Coturnix japonica: one gene and its partners. The protein of the gene in region 2 binds, or shares a complex with, the protein of the main gene of each other region. Links are inferred from orthologs where the notes say so. Each region holds a gene or a part of one and is shown on either strand. Other genes may lie near its edges. The genes, in order: transcription initiation factor TFIID subunit 4-like, TBP and TAF10.

Region 1 (7,956 bases), on a different chromosome or scaffold from region 2:
TCCAGAATACTGTATGAGAGGAACCAGCCTCAAAACTGCCTATACAAAAATACTGTGGGATAGCTAATTTGATAATAGAGTTAATGCACTTCAGGAAACAACAAAAATTTCTCAATTTGCTAACAAATTACTTAGGAGAAGTAAAACAAGCATTTATCGGGAAAACAGGAGGATGTGACACACAGGAAAAATAAATACACAAACCAGAAAAAATATGTCAAAATAGTAAAACAAGAGAATTACAAATACAGTCAAAGTGTATCGTCAGAACTATCTCAGACTTGATAGGCTCAGCTTTAGGGAGAAGAGCTTCTCAAACATCAACAGTTTGAGAACTTATGATGGCAATGGCCAAGCTGCTGCTTAACACTGCTCTCCTCTGTATGATGCTCACTTCTTTCTTCTTGCTGTCCAGAAGCACTTTAATTTTGTAACTAAATTCAAATAATTTCAATTGAAAAATTCATGCTTCTCCTTTTAGGTTATGAAAAAAAAAGCCAACAGGATATTACAGTCCTGAAAACCAGCAAACAAGTATGTGTCACATCAGAAGCATGAAAAGCCATCAACTGCTCGAATGAGAAGTGTAGATAAAAAAAGAAGCTCACCAGAGAAAAACTAGATGGCAGCACCTACCCATTTTTCATAATTTTACAAGCACAGGCTTCCAAACAAGATACGGAGGCAGAAGTGTAAAACAAATTAAATATAATAATTCCAGAAATCTTCATCTCTGAAGTATACGGCGATGCGAGTCAACTTGTGCTTTTTTGATCTACTTATAATAGAAGACTCCAGAACAATTTTTTTTCTAAGATAACTGAAGTTTCATCAAATAACAGCTCATTCTTTAAGCATTCTGTTTTAAGGCCGTACAACATGTACAGTTTTGCCAATGTTAATGATTTAATATGCAGGAAAAAAAAATAATATTTATCAAAAACAAAAGGAACTAAATCAAATGTGTAGGAAAAAAAAAAAAAAGCAAATCATGCACTGTTATTTCAAACCAATATTCACTATCAATTTATTATTTTGTTAAATGTTCTTTTCAAACAAGCATTATCAGTGAGAAAGTACTCACAGTGTAACTTCTTAAATCAACAAAAGTTCATAATAATCCTTCCTAAGAGTAAGTTCTTCCTGATAGAACATGGAACATTTTAAAAAGATAAGATTCTGTTGGCTACACGGAGAAGAGGAATTGTATTCCTAAACTGAAAAATGTTTTGTTCTTCTATATCTGAATATTTGGACATATAATCTCCCTTAAAAAAAAAATAAAAAAAAAAAAAGTGTAGTTAGTTGTAGTGAACACCCCTCTCATGGTCATCTACAACCTTATTAATGATCTAAACTGAAATTATTTTAATGTACAATTGTACATATTTAAGCTTTTCTTTAATATTTTACTAAAAGAAACCACACACGCAAATTTAGAAGATCACTGAAATATTACACATACCTTCATATTACAGGTACTTCTCTCTACAGCTGATTTCTCTGCACTATGCTGTTATTTTCAAATGCTGATTCTTCACCCCAAGTCCAGGCCACTACTTCTGATTGCCCATCAAACATTGCACATTCTTTTGTGATGCTCCCATACTCTACGGCCTTTAAGCTCTGCATTAAACTAATCAGAATTGAGGCCTCTCCCACAAGGTACTTGCTTATCTGCTTCATCCGTTCCCAGAATTTTAACAGAAATTTTAACTGTAATCAGAAGAAGTAACCTGAATAGGAAAGCCAAGCACCCCAAAGGCAAGAAAACTAAATTTCAGTTTGCAGTACAGCAGTAATTGTAGAAGTGGTGTGCCTGGTCTAGATGATGCTTTTATCTTTGTGCATTTATCACACAGAGACTGTAACTCGCTGCACAGTTGAAGAGGTTACTGTAGGATGAATGGGAATTTGCATGTCTCAATTTTCCTGAACTTTTCTGTTTGACACTGCAATCACAATACATACTTTTCTACACAGGGAGGAAAATATTCTTATATGGAGATACTTGAGCTCTGACCCTTCAGCAAGGCAACACGCGCTTGTTTTTTAATCAAAGGAAAGAGTTATACTAAGCTCATATGCTAAATCCTGAGGGAAGTTAAACTACGCTTTCTTCTGCTACTCCTACAGAAAGTTGGCTCTTCCTCATAGACCGTCCTGGACATAAGCACAGCTGCTGAAGTCACGGGAATTTTCCCTCCCAAACAACTTAATCTATTGATTAAGTCAATTCAATTTAAGAACACTTAAAACATTTATTTATTTTCCCCACTTTTTTTTTTTTTTTTTTTTTTTTTTTAGAGGCACACAGGTCTCTCAAAGAAGATGAATCCTGACTGGCTACAATATCATGACTCAAATCCCACCACCTTAAAAATACCCAAACTATTGTATGCTGTGAGGCATTTACCATTCCTAGGGCTTTGCCAGCCCCTATTCTCAAGCTGTTAATTAACACCAATACGTATAAAGAGATATCTATCATGCTCTGCAGGTTATCTAGCTGGTCAGAATCCTGTAGAAAAATAACTACATCATCCTAATAGTAGAACTACCTCCATCAGATTTTTAGCATCTCTGCCACCACATGAACATGCAGCATCCTCAGAGCTTAATTTTCAGAAAAACCCAACAAGTCAGATTACACTATTTCCACAATCTTAACAGCTTCACATAACTCGAGAACACCTGCCCGAGGCCAATGTGATCAACTCCCAACATCAGTTGTGCACACATAAAATTCCAATCTTACAATAAAGATTGAACACATGCAGCCAATTTAATTCTGAATGCTAGCCACAGCAATTGAAGTTGCACAAAAACTTACAGTATGAAACCAAAGCAACTAAACCTAAGTCATTTTAACAGACTGAGGTCATATTCTTGGTGCAGTCCCACCCATGATCTGTTATGCATTTATACTATACGCTCATCTCAGAATCCATTCCTAGAGTGTGTGCTATGTAAAAAGTGGAGCATTTATTTTAAAAGCAAACAAACAAAACAAGAAAGCAAACAACCAATGACAGACATACAAACTAAATAATGAACATTGTCCAGACTTTTTTTGGTGTCAAATTAGTTACAAAAAAACAACTGGAAATCAATATAGGCTTGTCGCTGTGTTTATTTTCCTGACATCTCACACTTATCTCTGAAGGATTTTTACAAATCTTCTTACCCTTCCAGATATCACGAATTTAGATATTAACCAGCTGCCTTTCCTGCAGAGTTCTTTTACAATATTCCATCTAATACTGTGCTTACCCTTTTTGCTGACAGCATTAAGTTTATCAGATGTTTCCAGGCTTTTGTGTTCTTCTTGAGATACATTCTTTTGAACTACACATTACTCCTATTACATTCACATCTAAAACTCGCATTTTACTTGGCTGCTCTATGGTTTAGATTACCTCATTTTCAATTATACAATTCTATTCTGGCTTCCTTCTCTTCTGAAAAGTTTATCACTGTTTTTAGTTTTTGACTAAACAATCTTTTAAACTACAAACAGGGTGTAAAACACAAAGCATATAATGGGATAGCAATCAAATATTAACACAGGAAAACACACATTCAAGATACTTCAAGCAAGCTACACAAGAATCAGTCGAAAATTATAAAGGTATATTTTTCACCCCATTTCATTTAGGGTTATCTATCTCTTCTATAAACAAAGAACTTAGGCAAAACTTCCTTTCACTCTGTCAGTAATTATCACAGCACAACAGCCCTACACATCTGAAGGCACTTGCCTCTACATCTTAGTAAGACAGTTAAGCAGTGGCCATACATAGTCTGAAGCTGAACAGCATCCTTACAGAATTTTAAACCAAAAAAGTATACAAAGTAATTGAAAATAAATAAATACACAAACTCCACACTCTCCACTGAAACAGTCTGGGGTAGAAAAGCACAGTATCCTGTCAATCCATATTAAAATAGAGTAAAATGTAGTCAAAACACAGACAAAACTTTAAGTGCAGACCAATCACATCCAGAAGTGAATCAAAGGAATCAAATCCTTCTTCCAAATAAAGTGTACTACAGAAATTTAAGTACTGTGAATTCTGGCACAGAAAGTGCTTTGCTTTTTCTTTTCTAATTTCTAGTAAAATCTAGTGATCACATAAATCCATTCACTGTGCTGGAATATCACAGTGACTCACAGAGGGAACAATGTCATTTACTAAGTCAATGGCACACATTCCAAACCAATTTCTGTCTTCGAGAAACATGTTTGTCAAAGAACTGATAATGTATGAGATGAGATGACAGAGGAGAATGAAACACACACACAAAAGCAAGGTGAAACCAAGCCAGACATACCTGAGTTGTTGTTAGACGAAAAACTGGGCCGCCTGTGGGCACTGAAAGTCGAGGCGAAATGCTGGTAGGACCTTGTCCCTGTGTCTGTACTTGAGCCTGCATTTGTGCCTGGGCTAGAGCCTGCTGAGGCACCATCACAAGTTGTCCAGCATCTGTGCGCACCAAGACCATACCTAGTGAGAATAAAGTGACAACAACTGTAAAGAATAACATGACAAATCATAAAGAATTGCATTTTTCATAAGAATCATAAAGAATCACATATTTCATAAAGAACTATGAAATACAGAATAAAATCAACAATAGCATTGTCCCGTTTGGAGAATTAAAGTTGAAATAAATAGTCATTAAAGTAAACTCTAACAACGGTCTAGTTGCTGAGAACAACATTTAGTTTGAACATACCAGGGACAATGACAAGAAAGCTCTACTAAAACAACAGCATTAGGGAATGTGTAGATGCAAATATTAAGCCAGACACATTCCTGAGTATACAATATTTGAGATCTAGTTAATGTTTCAGCACTGACACATTAATTTATTTGGCACCTACCATCACTGTACCAGGAGGTTTGGGCGTGAAGAAAAAACACTGTCACACCCAGAGACCCAACGCAACTAGGAGCATGGGGATCTAAGGAAAATCCCAAGGAATTGTTCTAAATGAACACAGTACTTTCTGGATGTAAATGAAAATACTTTTGTTTTCTCATAATACACTTCACAAATAAAAGCCTCTCTACACATCCAGACTTTCCCTTATTGTAACTGTCCTGCTTTTCCATTATCAGCAGGTCAAAAAGGAGCTTCCAATGGCTCAGCTGGCCCCTGGGTCACCTGGATCTTTACGCTTAATTCAAGATCACTACAAGCACATAATGTGCTTTTTCTAGATCAGTCAGAACTAAGAAGCCATTATCCAGATACGTTATTTAAAAAGAATTTCCAAGTTAGTCTCCGAATACATTCCAATCTAACTTAGATGCAAGTAGGATACATGATACTGTCAAGAAGGAACAGGTCTTTCAGGGTCTAGGAAATCTCTTTCAGTCTGTTAATAACAGAGCCAGGAGACATTGTTCCTGCAACTTGTCTATATGTGTAGATTTCTTCATGCACATTTGATAACTTTGCAATGGAAAATAAAGAAGGTAAAAACGTATACTCACTTCTAAGTATCAGCTTCCCAGAAACAAACAAACAAACAACCTCGGTAAATAGATTTTGAAACATATTGAGCACTATTATATCCAGCAAGTAACCAAATTCAGAAGCAGTCTTTACATTTATTTCAGTCTCTGACACAGAACCACAGAGCCCAGTCTCATGATGAACACAACTGAATTGCAGCTGCAATAGAAGCCCTCACTCACCAGCTCACAAAAATCACAAACAGAAAACACATTTCTGCCACTATGAACGGAAGAGCTGTGGGAACTGAGCTGTAACGCCAAAAGCACACAGAGCTACTGTGAGGATCTCATCCAAAGGATACATCACATCTCCCTCAAAGCCTGATGAAGTTTTAAAAGAAGAGTTCAACAACAGATCTTAAAACAGGAACTTTCTGGGTGCATCAGCCCTTCTGGCACCAGACCTAATGGTCTGTAGAAACCCCACAGGCAGATGCTGCATTGGATATCTGCTGTTCTGGACAAACCAATATTAATACACTGCCCCAATGTGCAGAACAGACACCATTCCTCTGAGTGTCATTAACCTAATAGAAAAATCCTTATAGGATAAAGCCTAGCACATATTAAAAAAAAAAAAAAAAACACGTTCTATTGGCATTACACCAATTCACATCTGTCTTGTTAATTACTTTTCCAACCTTGTAAAATTCAATCTGAATTTTTAAAAAAATTAATAAATGAACAGAATGTACAAATTAATTGCAACAGGAGCCACATGGTTTCAATAAAAGTTGCAGATATAACTGCTTCTACAGACACAAAGATGTTCGTGCAGCAATTTTATATTTTAATCCAGCTTTAAGGACTTGAAAACTATTTTGCAGCACGTAGGAAGTGATCAGATCCTCGGAACTGAGTTAAACATGGAGATTAATTTTTCCTTATTGTCAGCCACGAAAAGATCCAACTCATAAGCCAGTATGAAGTGCTAGAACTGGTTATTATATGCTTAATATAGTAATACTTGCTAAAATAAACTCATTCTAAACTTCTGCATTAGGCAGAAGATCACAGTACAGGAGTTTCAATATCAGTTAATAATGATGTACAAACTTAAGAGTAATTAATCAAAAATAACAGTGTATTTTCTGAATTACTCTCATCCTTAGAACATGCTATCCTCCCGTTAATGCAATTTAATGGATTCCAAGCTATCTAGTAATAAAATTAAATTCAAGTGAAACATTTTCCACACTATTGTTTCCAGAACTGCCTCTAAACCTCTGACAAGATTGCTTTCAAGGGCTCCGTTTTCCCCTTCTGTTTAAAAACTACATAGTGGAACAAAGGCAATAAGCCGCAGAAACTGTATAGAAAGTCATGGTACAGTTTCTCACATGAATTTAGTATTAATCAAGCATATTAAAAATGTGAAATCAATCGCTAAAGCCACCAACATAGTGGGAATATAGCCAGACATTTTTAAACTAACCCCTTTGAGTTAGTCACGACTCCGGGAAACCTCTGAGCTTTATCCAGTTGGGACACCAGAATTTGGAGTTCCATAAACTACAGTTAAATACACAGCTACAGAAAAATTTATCTTAGCTAACAAAAAACAGCTATTAAAAGAAACATGGCAAAAGAAATTGATTATTTGAGGTTACATCAGCATCTCCAGGTAGTGTCACACTGCTGACCTCGATAGAAAAAAGAGGGGAAAAAAAAGTTTACATACCAATTCATCTCCCGGACCTGTAACAAACTTAGCAACTTTTTGCAACACTGTAATCTAAGCACAAACTGAGACCCTGGGAATGTTCAGGTAAAGTGGTACCTGGTACCGGGATGGGGAGATGCTGCTTTGATTCACCAGCTAAACTTGTAACTTTACAAAACAACACCAAGAAAATAAAAGGAGAACAAGCAGGACATGGGGAATTCTTCGTGGTTGGAAACAAAATCCAGTGATGGCAAGGCTGTGAGTACGCAGTAAGGGGCAACACAGTCACGCACCCCAAAAGGACAAACTTCACATTAAATCAGACTGTGTAGTATGGATACAGTCACCTGGTGCCCATCAGAAGGTGCTCACTGAAAACGAAAACTTTTCTCCATATCAAGAGATTGCAGAACGCTTCAAGAGAGACGTGATTCCTGGTTAACACACTCCAGATTGTTCTGGTGCACAGCTGTTTTTACACCGTTACAAAATAACTTACCGTGACCACCATTCTCCCAACGAGAGGAAACAAGTACTCGCCAAACAAGAGGCACAACTACTCTGCACCAACAGCAAAGTGCCCTAAGCCAACTACAACCTCGCTCATGCCGGACAGTCGGCCAGAACTCGCCCTCAGACGGGTGCTCGTCCTTTAGCTCTCAACACGCCGAGCAGCGGGAAAACGCGAACTTTGAAAACCTCCGTCAGAGAAAGGCCGAGCAGAGCCGAGCGCCCGCCCCGCCCGCCCCACTTACCGGGCGG
Region 2 (8,056 bases):
AGGCCTCAATTTCACCCTGCCTGATCTTTCACTAGCAATACAGCTACAGTTACAATATGAACACTTGATGAAAAAGAAGAAATTGTATTTAAAATTATAATAGGCCTCAAATGCAATACCAAAAATACATTTCTAAATACATTAAGATAGCTACCTTTAATCTTGCTTCAATAATCTTTGTGAGTGTAAGGCAGTCACCATGGAAGCCACTGCATCCAATGACTGTTCGCTCTGTTCTGTAAAACAAAGTTTAGTTGTGATTTTAGATTTAGCACGAACTATATCAGCTTCTTATAAAGTAAGTTATGAAAATATCAAGTGTATTTCCAGCTTCTCAAATGCTATCAGAAATAGTTGTCTAAAATGTAGTAGTAACAGGTATTCCAATAATAAAAGCTGACTCATTAAGTGCAGGATCACACAGATGTTAGTCTTCAACCCACTGATTTCCACAGCAAAGCTTTGGAAAGAAAAAAATACCTTAATTTCTTCAAGCACCTCTAACTGTAGCTATTACCAAGCCGTGTCATGTTACTCAATATGTTTTTACTCCATCTGGCCAGGGAACTGCTTTTAGCTGGTGAGGTAATGTTTATGATGTAGGTGATTTTTGGTGTCAGCACAACAGTGGTGACCTCATTGCAGCCTTTCAGTACCTGAAGGGAACCTGTATCCATGAGGGGAGTGAACTCTTCGAAAGGGCTGACAATAGCAGGACACGGGGAAATGGTTTTATGTTAAAAAGGGAAGATTTAGGTTGGATGTTAGGTTAGGGGGAAGTTCTTCACTAGGAGAGTGGTTAGGCCCTGGAACAGGCTGCCCAGGGAGGTTGTGGATGCCCCGTCCTTGGAGGTGTTCAAGACCAGGTTGGACGGGGCCCTGGGCACCTGATCTAGTAAAGGTGTATGTTTGGGGCCCTGCCAGGCAGGGGGTTGGAACTACATCTCCTTGACGGTCCCTTCCAACCACGGGTCATTCTGTGTTACTGTATCTGCTGATGTACTATACAGTATTAGCAGTTTGATCAGTTTCATAGCAAACATTTAACATTAATTAACTGGCACTAACATTTAAGCAATAACTACAGGAACCCACATTTGAATTTTAAGTTCTATAAATCTATGAAAGCCTACAAACACTGACATATTGTCCTGGTTTTGGCTGGGATAGAGCTCACTTTTTTCCTAGTAGCTGCTACGTTGCTGTGCTTTGGATGGAGGGTAACTGTTGGTAACATCCATGTTTTGGCTGTTGCTGAGCAGCATTGCACAGAGCCAAGTTGCTTTCCCAGCTTTTCACACTGCCATGACAGCAACTGAGGCCATGAGGGTGCAAGGGAAGCTGGGAGATGGGACCAGGGCAGGACAGCCAATCCGAACCAGCCAAGGCGATGTCCCATACTGTGCAGGGTCACGTGGACATGATAAAGTTGGAGAGAGCTGATCAATGTCGCAAGGAGAATCTGATCTAAGGAACTGGCTGGGGCATTGGTCAGCAGGTGGGAGAGCAATTGCCCATGCCTTCCATTCTCTTTATTATTATTTCCTTCAATTTTCTGACCTATCAAACTACTTTTGCATCAGCCCATTGGTTTACCTTGTGTTTTTTCCAGTATCATAGTCTCGTGTGGGTTGGAGGGCCCTTAGAGATCATTGAGTCCAACCCCTGGGATTCGAGCCCCTGTGTAGCAGAGCGGGCATTCTACCACCTTGCACACCACAGGGGGATTCGAACCCAGGCTCTCTTTCACATCCCACTGCAGGTGGGTTGTGGTGGAAGCAAGCAATACCTGCCCAGTGCTTTAGCTTCAATGAGGTTAAAACACCAGCACACATTTATAAGTTTAAACACTCAAAACCACTTCAATTGAGATTGCCTCAATTTCTGTCACCCGAATTACCCAAAGCCATCCTGGGCTTCTACACCTAATTGTACTAAAGCAATCTTCCACTGGACAGTAACAGAGAATCAAAGATACTACACAGAGTTACAGGCTCATTCTTCCATTTCAGTCCTTACAAGGTGCAGACTTACAGTTTGTAGCATTTGGGGCTGTCCCGGCTGTGAATTGCATAACCTTCACTCAGCCGTGTGTCGGAGGCAAACAATGCTGAAAGTCTTCCCCAGCGATCGCCAGCACAGTCCTTAAAGAAGAGCATTCATATAATTCACACAATTGGCACAACTTAGTTCTTAGGCAAGCGATGAACAGCCAGAAGAATAACAGAATGACCCGGGTTGGAAGGGACCTCAAGGATCATGTAGTTCCAACCCCCCTGCCTGGCAGGGCCACCAAACATACACATTTACTACATCAGAGTTGCCCAGGCCCGTCCCAACCGGGTCTTTGGAACACCTCCAAGGACGGGGCATCCACAACCTCCCTGGGCAGCCTGTTCCAGGGCCTAACCACTCTCCTAGTGAAGACAGAAGGCAAAACGACAACGAGCAAGACGCAGCCCAGCTCACCTCCCCCCGGCCCATCCCTGCCCGCGGCTCTCACCCGCCGTTGAAGGTGTATGGCGAGAAGCGGTACTGCACAGGTCCGCCCAGCCCATATCCCGGCTCCGGCCTCAGCTCGGCGTATCGCGCTGCGGACAGCATCCCTACGGCACCAGCCCTGCTGTCTCACGGCAAAATGGCGGCACCGGAAGCGAGGAGGCGGCGCTCTACGAGGCACAGGCACCTCGTCTCGTCTGCTCTGGAGGTACCACGCCCCATCGGCGGTGACCACCCGGCCGCATGGAGCCGTGCCAGCCTTCGGGCGGCAGGGCCGGCAAGCACAGCAGGCTCTCGCCATGAGCACACCAGCACACCGTGTGCCCCGGTGGTGCAGTAGTAGCAATGCCGCTTTGCAACACCGCAGGCCCTGGGTTCGAATCCCCCCTGTGGCGCGTGTGGTAGAAGTGCCGCTCTGCTACACAGAGGCTCGAATCCCGGGGGTTGGACTCGATGATCTCTAAGGTCCCTTCCAACCCGCACCACACTGTGACACTGTGAGCACGGCACCACACGCTGTGCCACGAGGTGCGAGTAAAGCCAACACCCCGCAGACAACAGCCCGCAGGCCCCGCCCTCACTCAAGATGGCGGTAAGAGGGGCGGGGCGGATTCGTGGCGGAAGTGACGCAATCGAGGCGCGCCGGCGGCGCGGTCTCGGGGCGCAGCCTGTGTCCCGCAGTTGCGGTGCTGGTTGTGGCGGCGCCGCGCGGCAGGTACCGGCCGTTCCGTGTCCCGCTCCGCCCCGCAGCCCACACGGCGCGGGCTGTGCCGCTTATGGCGGGGGGGGTGGCCGGGCCGAGCCCGCTTCTTACTCCCCGTGGGCGCCGCCGTAGGGTCGGGGTCCTGCGGGCGGGCCCGAGCGGCGGGGAGGGGGGGAGGGAGAGAAGGGATGTGCGGGGTGAGCGGGCCGCGGGCCGAGCGGAGCGACGGGAGCGATCCCGGTACGGCCGTTGGTGCCGGGGGCGTGATGGCGGCGGGACGCGGTCACCGCCTCCCACACGTGACGGCGGGCGGGGAACGCGGCGGCGGCGGCGGCCTTGGGTTCGGTACGGGAGCCGTGATCGGCCCTTGCCCTGCACGTGGGCCTGGTACCGGGGCTCGGCGGCTGGGTTCGGTGTATGTGGAGTCCGCGCGGCGTGTTGGGCCTGAGGATGGGCTGCCCGTGATGCTGGGTAACGGCTGGGCCCCTTCTTTGCACGGTGTGCAACGTGGAAACGCCTTTGGGTAAAACAGCGGGTGGTTAATGTGATACTGAGTGCCTTAAGGACGAGAGAAAGATGGGCAGGCTTTCTTCAAATGTTTCAGTGCTGTGCCTTAAAATGGCTTAGGAGCTCTCTGTGTAAGTGTGCAGTTAAGCTATAAATGAATAGGAAAAATATCTGATAAAAAGGCTTAGCATTTCATAATATAGCTATGCAGAGAAGGAGCTGGGTGTTTGCAGACAGCAGGTTGGCCATGAGTGTGCCCCGGTGGCCCAGAGGGCCAATGGGATCCTGGGGTGCATCAAAAAGAGCATGGCCGGCAGGTTGAGGGAGGTGATCTCCCCCTCTGCCCTGCCCTGCTGAGGCTCCATCTGGAGCACTGCGTCCAGTTCTGGGCTCCCCAGTTCAAGGCAGAACAAGGAGTAGTGGACACAAACTGCAGCATGGGAAGCTCCGTACAAATAGAGGAAGACAGAGCTGCCCAGAGAGGCTGTGGAGTCCCCTTCACAGTAGGTACTCAAAACTTACCCAGCCACTCTCCTGCTGTAGGGATCCTGCTTTAGCAGAGGATTGGGCTCAGTGATCTCTGGAGGTCACTTCCAGCCCTTACAGCGCCATGAAAGCATTTCAGTTCTCTATTTGTATTGTTTCTTTCCATTGCGTGCCAATAGAGGTACAGGTCTTTGTTTAAAAGGCAAAAAACAAACAGTAAGTGAAACAACACCCAGAAGAATACTTTCGTTTCATGCATATACCTGGAATTGGCTTTTAGTTTCCCTTTTTCCCCTCGTGAAGTACGTCATTGCAATTCAAAATACATTAGTGCTTTGCTTTATGGAAGTAGATGGGAGGAGGTTTCCTAAACCTGAGTTTACCAGCAGTATTTTCATATAGCAAAATCAAAAAACAACTTTGGAAGGCCAAGCCTTAACTCTGCCCAGGGGGAGATGTGTGAGCGAAGCGTGGCTTTAGGCTCGTCTGTCAGTAGCTGGTGGAATTCAGTTCTGAAAGTCAATGCTTTCCCATCTGAAGCGATGCATGCAGGACTGGAGCTGTGTGTGAAGGAGGCCTTCGTTGTGGAGGCGGCTGCTCACGTGCAGTGGATGTTCACCAGGGGCACTAGGGCTGTAGAAAGAGATTGCTTTATATAAGGTGCATGGGTGTGTGCGTGCGTATGAGTGTTCTCGCATATATTTGTATGTGGGCATTTCTTATCTAACAGACCAGCTGATAAGCCTGCTTTTGTTTAAATGTTATTCTCAAGATATTACTTCTTTTCTTTTCAGGCCCTGTTTAGTGTTTTAGACTCGCAACGTGTTTTCTCTGGAGCTGATGTTTTCCTGACACGTTTTCAGCTTGGCTAAAAAGCTGCTTTGCTGGAATGCTTTAGAGGGTCAAAAACCCTTTTTGGTTTTAAATTAATTTCAATTAATTGAAGGAAATATTTCTGGCCTCACCAAAGAATAACCGGAATCATGGATCAGAACAACAGCTTGCCACCCTACGCTCAAGGCTTAGCCTCCCCTCAGGTAAAAAGGGATGATGTGATATGCAAAAGCGGTCTGAATTTCTTTGTGGGAGTGTTTTCTGTGTCTTGTATGTTATTTCTTTGTGTCTTTTTTTGTTTGTGTGTTTGCAGATCTGAAAAATTCTACTGTATATAACTTACTCAGTAAAAAGCAGAGATGAAAAACCATTTATATATAGATAGATAGATAGATATGGGTATATATAGATATATATCCAGAGGTTTAAGAAATACACTGATATATTTATGGTTTTCATGAAGCTGAAACATTACTGGCATGTTGAAAATAAGAAGGTTCAGGGGAGACCTCATTGCAGCCTTCCAGCACTTGAAGGGAACTTGCAAGCAGGAGGAGGGGGGCTGACTTTTTAACATGGTCTAATAGCAGTAGGACAACGGGGAATGGCTTTAAACTAAAAGAGGGAAATTTAGGTTAGATGTTAGGAGGAAATTCTTTATTCAGAGAGTGGTCAGGCACAGAGAAGCCTGTGAAGCTTCTCTTGGCCAGAGAAGCTGTGGATGCCCCATCCCTGGAGGCATTCAAGGCCAGGTTGGATGGGGCCCTGAGCTGGTGGGTGGCAGCCCTGCCTATGGCAGAGGGTGGGACTGGATGGACTTTCCCTTCCAACTCAAGTCATTGTATCATTTTAACTTTGTTCATTGCTTTTGGAATCCTTTAAATTGGCTTATATGTAATGGACTACAGTTGTGCTGTGAATGCATTTGCATTCTAATGATTGCAAGTAGGAATTGTGGGTCAAAGTTGAGACGCACTTTCCAGGTATTGTAGGAAACGTACCAGCGTCGCTGACTGGTGCTGAGAAGTGTTGGAATTGACAGATCGATTGAGGTTGTGATTCATGTTGTGTAAGAACTGAATCTTCCAAAGGTTTTCTGTTTTTAGCAAGTTAGTAATATACCGTGGGCTTGATGTGACCAGCTAAGATGATTTATTCTTAGACTCCTACTACTTCAAGCTTCTTCTCTTTAAAACAATGTTAAGTCAAAGCGTCTGTGGTTTCTTTTTCATGTTTTCTTCTGCAGGGTGCAATGACTCCTGGAATTCCAATTTTTAGCCCAATGATGCCCTATGGCACGGGACTGACACCGCAGCCTGTCCAGAGCACCAACAGTCTGTCTATCCTTGAGGAACAGCAGCGGCAGCAGCAGCAGCAGCAACAGGCAGCACAGCAGTCTACATCACAGCAAGCGACACAGGGAACATCTGGTCAAACTCCTCAGCTCTTCCACTCACAGACTCTTACCACAGCCCCTTTACCAGGAACCACACCTCTGTACCCCTCCCCAATGACTCCAATGACTCCTATAACTCCTGCGACACCGGCATCCGAGAGCTCTGGGATAGTGCCACAGCTACAGTGAGTGTGTTGTGTGCTTGTACACCGTGACATCTCAGGATGTGCTTTAACTCGAAATATCCAAGAGCAAAGCCACATAAGTAATTGTGTACTGCATTTTGATAGGAAAGAAGGTCTTGAATATTTATTTGTATGAGTAGTGCAGAACATTGACATTGTAAACTACTTTTTACAAGGGTGGATAGTGATAGGACAAGGGGGAATGGTTTTAAACTGAGACAGGGGAGGTTTAGGTTAGGTATTAGGAAGAAGTTTTTCACCCAGAGGGTGGTGATGCACTGGAACAGGTTGCCCATGGAGGTTGTAGATGCCCCATCCCTGGAGGCATTCAAGGCCAGGCTGGATGTGGCTCTGGGCAGCCTGGTCTGGTGGTTGGCGACCCTGCACATAGCAGGGGTGTGCAGAGAATTTTGTTGGTGAGATAACATCTGTAATGGAATTGGAAGGGTTGAAAGGAAGTACTGCCCTAAAAGAGGAGTTTCCTGTCAGTAGGAGAGATGTCACTTAAGCTTGCTTGGTTAAACAAATGAAAAGAAATTAGTAAGTATGTTATGATGGATAAGATGCGTGAATTCTTTAATTTACTTTTTAAAATGTATTTCTCTGAACTATTTTCAGGAATATTGTGTCCACGGTGAATCTCGGTTGCAAACTTGATTTAAAAACAATTGCGCTTCGTGCCCGAAATGCTGAATATAATCCCAAGGTAAGAGAAGTGTGTTAGAATGTATCCAGTAACAGGTATGTGGGCAGAACATCTCTGGAGTGTGCTTTGCTGTAAGTAGCTGGATTGAACAGGGGGGGTTTTATGGCCTCGCTCCCCCTCTAAGCTCTGTTCTTTCAGATATTCCCCCAGTACTGGCTGTTGCTGTCTGTTATAACAGCGATGCTGTTAACAACTGCATGTGAGTAAGATGCTCATGCAGCTCACATTTGAGTGTGCGATGCTGGCTGTTATGTTAGGGGTAGGTGGCTGTGCAGAGCTTGTAGGCTAGAACGATCAATATGAAATGCTGGATTTTCACAGCAGAGAGAAAAGAAGGGTTATGTAACGCACTCGTGACTTTTAGTCAGTGCATCCTTTTATGAAACAAATAGCTTGCTTGGCTGTGTTATTTAAGCCACAGTTTGACAAATGTGTTTTTGGGTAACCCATGCTACTACCTTCATTATGTCAGCAGAACAGTAGTACATGAGACTGCATAGTGAACTGGTCCAAGTTTAATACAGCACAGAGATTTTGTGTGTGATACCCACATCAGTTTGCAGTATTTGTTTCTTCAAAGAGCTTAAGAATGTTTATAAATGCAGGTAGAGATGTTACAGTATGTAAAATAAAAAGCTAGAGCTTACTGGGCTACTGTATTCTACCATAGTAGTTAAGGTGAATTCAGTTTACATGGAATATGGCTTCTGACTTCCCAGTGGTTCTGTTTGATGACACTG
Region 3 (8,056 bases), on a different chromosome or scaffold from region 2:
CCTGTGGGCACGGGGCTCCTGCTGGGCGCTATGGGGGGAGGGCTGAGCCATGGGGCTCCAGGGCTGGGGGCTCTGTGCAAACACAGCTGGAGGAGACACAGCCTGATGGTCCAGAGTGTGTCAGGACAGGTGGACAAGTGAGACAGACAGGTGTGTGTGTGTACAGCTGTGCTTGGGCTGCCCCACACCTCCCTGTGCCCACAGGAGGGCTGGGGTGAGCTCCACTTGGCTTCTGTGCTGCTCAGCCCGGGTACAGAGGGCACTCCTTGCTTCACAGAGGCTGTGTGGGCAGGGAGAGGTGCTCATCCTGGCTCCTTCCATCAGTGGGAAGGGCGGCAGGGTGTGTGCTGTTGTGTTGTGTTGTGTTGTGCTGTATGTGAGCTGTCCCTGTGTTGCAGCACGGCCGAGCGCCTCCTGCCCGGGGCTGAGTTCCATCGCTATGTGAAGGGCCAGCGCAGCGTGATCCGCTCCCCACAGCCCTACGTGGTTCCCGAGGAGCTGGCAGAGCACATCGACTTCGGTACAGTGCGGGGCAATGGGGCTGCTCAGTGATGCAGGTGGGAGGCTGAGCACTGCTGGCCGGGCTGGGGCAACCACAGTGCACAGAGCACGGCGCTTCTCTGGCTGTGCCCCAGCCGCCCTGTGCTCCTTGAGGAGCCAGGTGGTGACCTCAGTGCTTCCCATGGCATCTCTGGCACCGGCTGCTCAGTGCTGGCCGTGCAGGTGTCTGTGGCCGTGCAGGTGTCTGTGGCCGTGCAGGTGTCTGTGGCCGTGAGGTGTCTGTGGGGCCGTCGCAGGTGCTGTTGGCCTGTGCAGGTGTCTGATAGGCCATGGCAAGGTGTCTGTGGTTGTGCAGGTGTCTCTGGTTGTGCAGGTGTCTGTGGCCGTGCAGGTGTCTGTGGCTGTGCAGGTGTCTGTGGTTGTGTAAGTGTCTGGTTGTGCTGCTGCCTCTGAGGGGTGGAAGCTCCCCCCGTGAGGAAGCCGTGGCACTGCAGTCATTGGCACAAGGAGAACACAGCACGCTGGGCAGTGGTGGCTGCACAGCAGTGGGGTAATGGCAGCCCAGGAGTGCAGAGTGCTATGGGTGCTCCCTGTGCCCTCCTTCCAGCCAGGGTGAGGAGGGGGAGCAGGGCTGTGCCTTACCAGAGCGCAGGGCCCTGGCACCTTCTCCTTCTTTGCGGAGCAGTGGGGGGCCTGCACCGGTTCCCTGCGGAGAGGAGCGTGGTCAGCAGGGCCTGGGCCAAGGAGGGGATGGAGTCCCATGGGCAGAGAGCAACCTTCCACCTGGGTGTGATGCCGTCCGTCATTCGGAAGCGATACAACATGACGACAGCAGACATTGGAGTGCTGCCCAACAACAGCCAGGCCTGTGCCCAGGTACAGCCCGGTGCTGGGGGGGCAGCAGGTTGCACCCCAGAGCTGGGGCACCATTGCAGTGGGCACAGGGTGCTGTGGGAGCGTTCAGCAGCTGCTGAGAGCTGTGGCCAATGTTCCATGAGCACATTGAGCCAACTTCCCAGCTCTGGAGAAATAACTCCGTGTCCTTCTGTGTCCCCCCAGTTCCTGGAGCAGTATTTCCACCAGGCTGACCTGGCTGTGTTCATGAAGCTCTTTGGCAGCAGCTTTGCCCACCGCACAAAGGTCGACCACGTGGTTGGGCACCAGGGCCAGGGCAGGGCTGGGCTGGAGGCCAGCCTGGATGTGGAGTACATCATGAGCACGGGCGCCAACATCTCCACGTGGGTCTTCAGCAATGCAGGTACTGATCCCCTGCCAGGCCTGCTTTGCCCTCTGTCTGCTTCCACGTGTCCTGCTCGATGTAGCACTGACCCGTCGGTTCAGGGAAGCGGCCATTCCCTGCCAGGGCTGTGAGATGGGCTGCTCACAGTCCAGCTGGTGTGAGTTGCACCTCACGTGGTTCCTCATAGGGGCCGTGGCACTGGGGTTTCCCAGCTGCTGTGGGTACATACTATGTGGGCTTCCAGCACCGGAGCCGCTGTGGGTCTCTGACAGCTCTCACAGGAGGCATCATCCATTGCTTTAGGATACGTGACTGTGCACCATCCGCAGTGCCCTGCAGCGCTGCACACCTGCCCTGGCTTTGCAGTGTGAAGCAATCACATCACTCCCCTCCCTCTCTATGCAGAGCTGACCTGGCCATGAATCTGCCACGGGGTGGGGAAGGGCAGTTTGAAGGAAGGGGGCTGCAAACCAGTATGTGCTGGTGCTGTGCAACAGCAGTTTGTCCATGTTAGAGGATGGCCGGGGGCTGAGTGCACCGGGACCGTGTGCTCTGTCCTGTTGATGTGTGCTGGTGCACAGACCCTGTGTGCAGGTCTCTTCTGTGCTGCCTGCAGTGTGAGAAGAGGACAGAGACTCTGAGCAGCTGCAGGGAGTCTGGGACCCTCTGCCCTACACTGCATGGAGAGGGGAGAGGGGCAGGAGGGGCCTCGGCAGGGATTGGTGCTGGTCCCAGAGCCATCCCTGCCGTGCTGCCGTCAGCTGCTCTGCTGATGGGAATTCAAGGCAGCATCCAACCGAGCTCTGCACCCACGGGCAGGGGCAGGAGGGTCAGAGCCGCTGCTGGGGCAGCACAGTGACCCCGATCCGCCCTGGAACTGCTGCTTTGTGCCCGCAGGGCGGCACGAGAGCCAGGAGCCGTTCCTGGCGTGGCTGCTGCTGCTCAGCAACATGTCGGCGCTGCCCTGGGTGCACTCGGTCAGCTACGGGGACGACGAGGACAGCCTGTCTCAGGCCTATCTGCAGCGGGTCAACGTGGAGTTCATGAAGGCGGCCGCCCGCGGCCTCACCGTGCTGTTCGCTTCGGGTGCGTGAGCTGCGGGGCCGGGGGCGTCCCGCTGCCCAGCGCTCCGGGCGCCCCCATCACTCGTGGCTGCCCGCAGGTGATGACGGTGCCGGGTGCCGGAGGGTGCCGGGGGGGAACCACACGTTCCGGCCCAGCTTCCCGGCCTCGAGGTAACGGCGGCCCCGGGCTCCTCGTGGCTGCGGGGCGGTGTGAGCCCCGGGGGGGGGTCGGGTTTGGGGGGGTCCGCAGCACCTGCCCGTCCTCAGCCCCTACGTGACCACGGTGGGCGGCACGTCCTTCAAGAACCCGTTCCTGGTGACGGAGGAGGTGACGGATTACATCAGCGGCGGCGGCTTCAGCAACGTCTTCCCCATGCCCGACTACCAGGTGCGGCCGGGGGCGGAGGGGCCGCGGGGGGGGCTCCCCGGTGCCGGCGCTGATCGGGCTGATGGAGCTGATGGAGCTGCCTCCCCCAGGCCGATGCGGTGCGGAGTTTCCTGCGCTCCGCCCCGAAGCTGCCGCCCGGCTCCTACTACAACAGCAGCGGCCGCGCTTACCCCGACCTGGCCGCGCTGTCGGACAATTACTGGGTGGTGACCAACCGGCTGCCGCTGCCCTGGGTGTCGGGCACGTCGGTGAGCGCGGGGCGGCGGGGCGCGGCTCGGGGCCGTCGGGTCCCGGTTCGGTGCCGTCGGGTCGCGATTCAGTGCCGTCGGGTCCCGGTTCGGTGCCGTCGGGTCGCGGTTCGGTGCCGTCGGGTCCCGTTCCGGTGCCGTCGGGTCCCGGTTCGGTGCCGTCGGGTCCCGTTCCGGTGCCGTCGTGTCGGTGCGCTCCGCCCGGCGCTGAGCCGTGTCCCCCGTTGCCCCGTTCGTTCCAGGCCTCGACGCCGGTGGTGGCGGGGCTGCTGGCGCTGATCAATGACCGCCGCCTGCAGGGCGGGCAGCCGCCGCTCGGCTTCATCAACCCCGCGTTGTACCGGCTGCGGGAGCGCGGACACGGCGCGGCGCTGTTCGACGTGAGCGGGGCGGGGGGCGGGGGGGGGTCCCGGGGGGTGCGGGGCGGGTCCGGTCCCAGCCGGGCTGTTCGGTCCCGTCCGGTCCGGTCGGGTTTTGCTGACCCCGCCCCGTCCCCAGGTGACCGTCGGCTGCCACGTGTCGTGTCTGGACGCTGCGGTTCAGGGCCGCGGTTTTTGCGCCGTTCCCGGTTGGGACGCGGTGACCGGGTGGGGGACGCCCAACTTCCCGCAGCTGCTGCGCGCGCTCACGGCGCCGTGACGCCAATAAAGGCCGCGATACGAACCGTGTGTGCGGGACCGACGGGACGGGCGGCCAATGGGGAGCGGGGACGGGAGCGGGGCGGCCAATGGGCAGCGGGAGGGGGCGGGGCCGAGGGGGCGTCGCGTCGCGCGCAGGCGCGTTGCGGAGCGGCCGGAGCCGTCGGGGGGGGCGACATGAGCTGCAGCAACGAGAGCGACCCCGGCACCGCGGTGCCCGCAGCGCCCGCAGCGCCCGGGACCACCGGGACCACCGGGGACAACAAGCACAGCCCGGCCGCGGGCGGCAGCGGCGTCCCCGGGGCGCCACCCAGTGCGGCAGGAGGAGCGGCCAGGGGAGCGGACGGGGGAGCGGCGGCGGGGAGGGGACCCGGTGAGTGCGGGGAGGGGAGAGCGGGACCGGGCCGTGATGGACCAGGCCGGGCTGGACCGGGCCGTGCGGTGCCGGGCCGTGATGTGCCAGGCCGTGAGGGACCGGACCGGGCCGTGCTGTACCGGGCCTGCCTGTGCTGTGCCGTGCTTTGCAGTGCCATACCGTGCGGTGCCGGGCCGTGCCGTGCTGTGCGGTACCGTGCGGTGCCGTGAGTCCCGCTGAGCGCCTCCTCCCGTAGCTCCCGTGTCGGCCGCGGCGCCGCCCGAAGGAGCGATGTCCAACGGCGTTTACGTGCCGCCCGGCGCCGCCAACGGGGAGGTGAAGCCGGTGGTGTCGGGGACGCCGCTCGTGGATTTCCTGCTGCAGCTGGAGGATTACACGCCCACGGTACGAGCGGCGCGGGGCGGGCGCTGAGGGCGGGCACCGGCACCGGGCACCGAGTGCTGAGCACCGGGCGCTGAGCGCGGCTCTCCCTGCAGATCCCGGACGCCGTCACCGGGTATTACCTGAACAGAGCGGGATTCGAGGCCTCCGACCCGCGCATGTGAGTGTAAAGGGCGGCCGGGGGGGGGGGGTGCGGAACGACCCCCGGTGCCGTATCCCCGCCCACCCGCCCGTTGTTGTGCCCGCAGCATCCGGCTGATCTCGTTGGCCGCACAGAAATTCATCTCTGACATCGCCAACGACGCGCTGCAGCACTGCAAGATGAAGGGAACGGCCTCGGGGAGCTCCCGCAACAAGAGCAAGGTGGGTGTGATGGGGGGCACTGCCAGGCATTGACCTGGGTCACAGAGTCACAGCGTGGCCTGGGTTGCACAGAACCACAGTGCTCATCCATCCCAACCCCCTGCTGTGTGCAGGGTCACCAACCAGCAGCCCAGGCTGCCCAGAGCCACATCCAGCCTGGCCTTGAATGCCTGCAGGGATGGGGCATCCACAGCCTCCTTGGGCAACCTGTGCCAGTGCGTCACCACCCTCTGGGGGAAAAACTTCCTCCTCAGATCCAACCTAAACCTCCCCTGTCTCACTTTCAAACCATTCCCCCTTGTCCTATCACTGCCCACCCTCACAAACAGCCGTTCCCCCTCCTGTTTATTCGCTCCCTTCAAGTACTGGATGCCCACAATGAGGTCTCCCCGCAGCCTTCTCTTCTCCAACCCAAACCAGCCCAGTTCCCTCATCCTTTCCTCATATCAGAGCTGCTCCAGCCCCTCTGCTCATCTCAGTGGCCTCCTCTGGACCCTCCAAGAGCTCCATGTCCTTCCTGTGCTGGAGGCCCCAGGCCTGGACTCAGCACTGAGATATGAGCTCACAAGAGCTGAGTAGAAGAGGACAATCCCCTCCCTGTCCCTGCTGGCCGCCCCTTTAAATGCAGCCCAGCACACAGTTGCCTTCCAGGCTGCAGGCACACACTGCTGCCTCATATCCAGCTTCTCACCCCCCAAGTCCTCTGCAGGGCTGCTCTCAAGGAGACTTTCCCCCAGTCTGTACACACACCTGGTGTTGCCCCAACCCAATGCATCACCCTGCACTTGTCCTTATTGAACCTCATGGGAGGCTGATGTGTGCTGACTAAATGGGAGGGAGCGTGGTGGGCAGGAGGTGGGCAGTGCTGTGTATGGAGATACTGCAGGGCCACCCAGCCCTGATGGCACCAAACTAACGCTGAGGGAAAAAGATAAAGGGAGGAAGCGTGTAGAAATAGCTTCTGGAATCCACACAGCCCCAATTGTGGCTTAGGGGCAGTGCAATAGATGCGCTGAGTAATGCTCAGTGCGTTTCTCTGCTGTGGAGGGCAAAGAGCAGATGCAGCTTTCAGGCACTTGGTGCTGGTTAATGCCCAGCCACTGGGCATCACACACACATGGACTGCTCCAATGAGGGTCAAAACCCCAACCAAGGGCTGAAGGCACGAGGTGTCTGTGCTGTGTTTGTGTGCTATGAGTGCTGTGTCTGTGCTGTGTTTGTGCTACAAGTGATGTATCTGTGCTGTGTCTGTGTGCTATGAGTGATGTATCTATCTGTGCTGTGTCTGTGCTGTGAGTGATGCTGCCCTTTGTCCCCAGGACAAGAAATACACTCTGACCATGGAGGACCTGACGCCCGCCCTGGCGGAATACGGCATCAATGTGAAGAAGCCGCACTACTTCACGTGAAAGCAGGGCTCGTTGCTGGGGACTTTTCTAGGGTTTGCTTCTGCTCCATTAAACCAATGGGTAGTTTTTTTTCTGGTGGAAAGACCCCCCGTTTCCTGCCGCCCTCCTGCTGTCAGTGCAGCAGCAGCATTTGGCCCACGGAGTTCTGCTCTGCCAGCACCAACAGAAGGTGATGGCTGAGGGCTGCACAGCAGGGAACTGCAGCTGCATCTCCTGGAGGGCTCAGCCTGCCCTGAGCTGCTGCAGGGCTGTGGGCATCGTGCAAACAGAAGCGCCCAGCTTCCTCTGTGCTTTCTTTCCCTGTAGCATGTCTCGTAAGAGGAAGGTTCTGGGGCTGTGACGGCTGCTGCAGCTGCAGCCAGGCTCCTCTGCCTCGCTCTGGGTTTGGCACAGAGCAGCTCCAGCGCCCAGGGCTCCATGTGCCAAGGGCAGCCCTTCTCCCAGCAGCCTATTGAGGTATCAACGCACCCTTCGGCCCGTGGCCAGTTTTCATAACAAATATTTATTTCAGATGCTGGCGGCTTTTCCACGTGGCCTGGATGGAAATGATAAAAAGTGAAGCGCGAAGCTGGGGTGGTGCTGGGCACAAAAAGGCAACTTTCCCCTGCTGTCCTTAGCAGGGAAGAGCACCAGGACTGGACACTGTCAGCATGAGACCAAGTGGGAGAGCTGCCCTGGGCCTGGGAGCATGACGTGGCTTCAGGGCGGCAGAGCCCCACCACGCTCAGTGGCTGCATCCAGGTGTCCTGCTCAGTCTGCCCACAGCTGCCAGGGAGGGTGGAGGTGCTGCCATAGATCGGTGCTACAGAGCCCGAAGCCCACAGAGCGGCTCCAGGGAAGGCAGCATCGCCTGTACCGTGTGTCCATGGCTGGCTCAGGGTGAGGGGGCAGCCCCTGCTCCCCCTTAGCTCTGGGGTTAAAGGCACTTGGAAGTGGTGGGGAAGGGAGCATGGCAGCGGCGGACATCGGGGAGGCACCTCCCTCTACTTGTCCTGCATCTTCTCTAGGATGGGCACGATCATGTCGAACTTGGGGCGCTTGGCTGGGTCCTCGTTCATGCAGATCTTCATCAGCTTGCAGATGTGTGGGGAGATGCCGGGGGGGATGGTTGGACGGAGCCCCTCCAGGGCCACCTGGGAGCGGGCAGAGCAGGGTCAGCCAGCTGGACACAGCCCTGCCTGTGGTGGGCACATGGAGCTCTCCATGCCACTGTGCTCTCCATGGAGCCCTGCCTGTGCTCCCTGCTGACCCAGCTGTGCTCACACTGCTTTGGTCCCCTCCCCCCTCACCTTCATTCCTATCTCCATGTTGGACAAGTCTGCAAATGGCACCTCGCGGGTCACCAGCTCCCATAGCAGCACCGCGAAGCTCCACATGTCCGCCGAGCGCCTGTTAATTTCCTCTGGCTTCTTCTGCAGGGCTGCAGAGAATCCAGTGCAGCACAGGGG

The links.
Region 1: TBP (region 2) and transcription initiation factor TFIID subunit 4-like share a complex: the UniProt entries of both Homo sapiens proteins name them as parts of the TFIID basal transcription factor complex. The link is inferred for Coturnix japonica from reciprocal best matches to the Homo sapiens genes TBP and TAF4.
Region 3: TBP (region 2) and TAF10 share a complex: the UniProt entries of both Homo sapiens proteins name them as parts of the TFIID basal transcription factor complex. The link is inferred for Coturnix japonica from reciprocal best matches to the Homo sapiens genes TBP and TAF10.

What each region holds. Positions count from the first base shown.
Region 1 is NC_029526.1:9,437,281-9,445,236, forward strand, and holds part of transcription initiation factor TFIID subunit 4-like, read right to left. Parts: coding exon 7,950-7,956; intron 4,509-7,949; coding exon 4,336-4,508; intron 1-4,335. UniProt on the Homo sapiens protein: The TFIID basal transcription factor complex plays a major role in the initiation of RNA polymerase II (Pol II)-dependent transcription.
Region 2 is NC_029518.1:36,562,322-36,570,377, reverse strand, and holds the start of TBP (TATA-box-binding protein), read left to right. Parts: upstream 1-3,104; 5' UTR 3,105-3,214; intron 3,215-4,989; 5' UTR 4,990-5,178; coding exon 5,179-5,232; intron 5,233-6,275; coding exon 6,276-6,610; intron 6,611-7,228; coding exon 7,229-7,316; intron 7,317-8,056. UniProt on the Homo sapiens protein: The TFIID basal transcription factor complex plays a major role in the initiation of RNA polymerase II (Pol II)-dependent transcription.
Region 3 is NC_029516.1:173,983,113-173,991,168, forward strand, and holds TAF10 (transcription initiation factor TFIID subunit 10), read left to right. Parts: upstream 1-4,213; 5' UTR 4,214-4,256; coding exon 4,257-4,452; intron 4,453-4,690; coding exon 4,691-4,839; intron 4,840-4,931; coding exon 4,932-4,996; intron 4,997-5,084; coding exon 5,085-5,199; intron 5,200-6,518; coding exon 6,519-6,608; 3' UTR 6,609-6,686; downstream 6,687-8,056. Other genes in the region: TPP1 (tripeptidyl-peptidase 1), read left to right, coding at 399-520, 1,187-1,377, 1,561-1,759, 2,639-2,827, 2,904-2,976, 3,073-3,193, 3,283-3,441, 3,684-3,821 and 1 more; ILK (integrin-linked protein kinase), read right to left, coding at 7,592-7,741, 7,898-8,028. UniProt on the Homo sapiens protein: The TFIID basal transcription factor complex plays a major role in the initiation of RNA polymerase II (Pol II)-dependent transcription.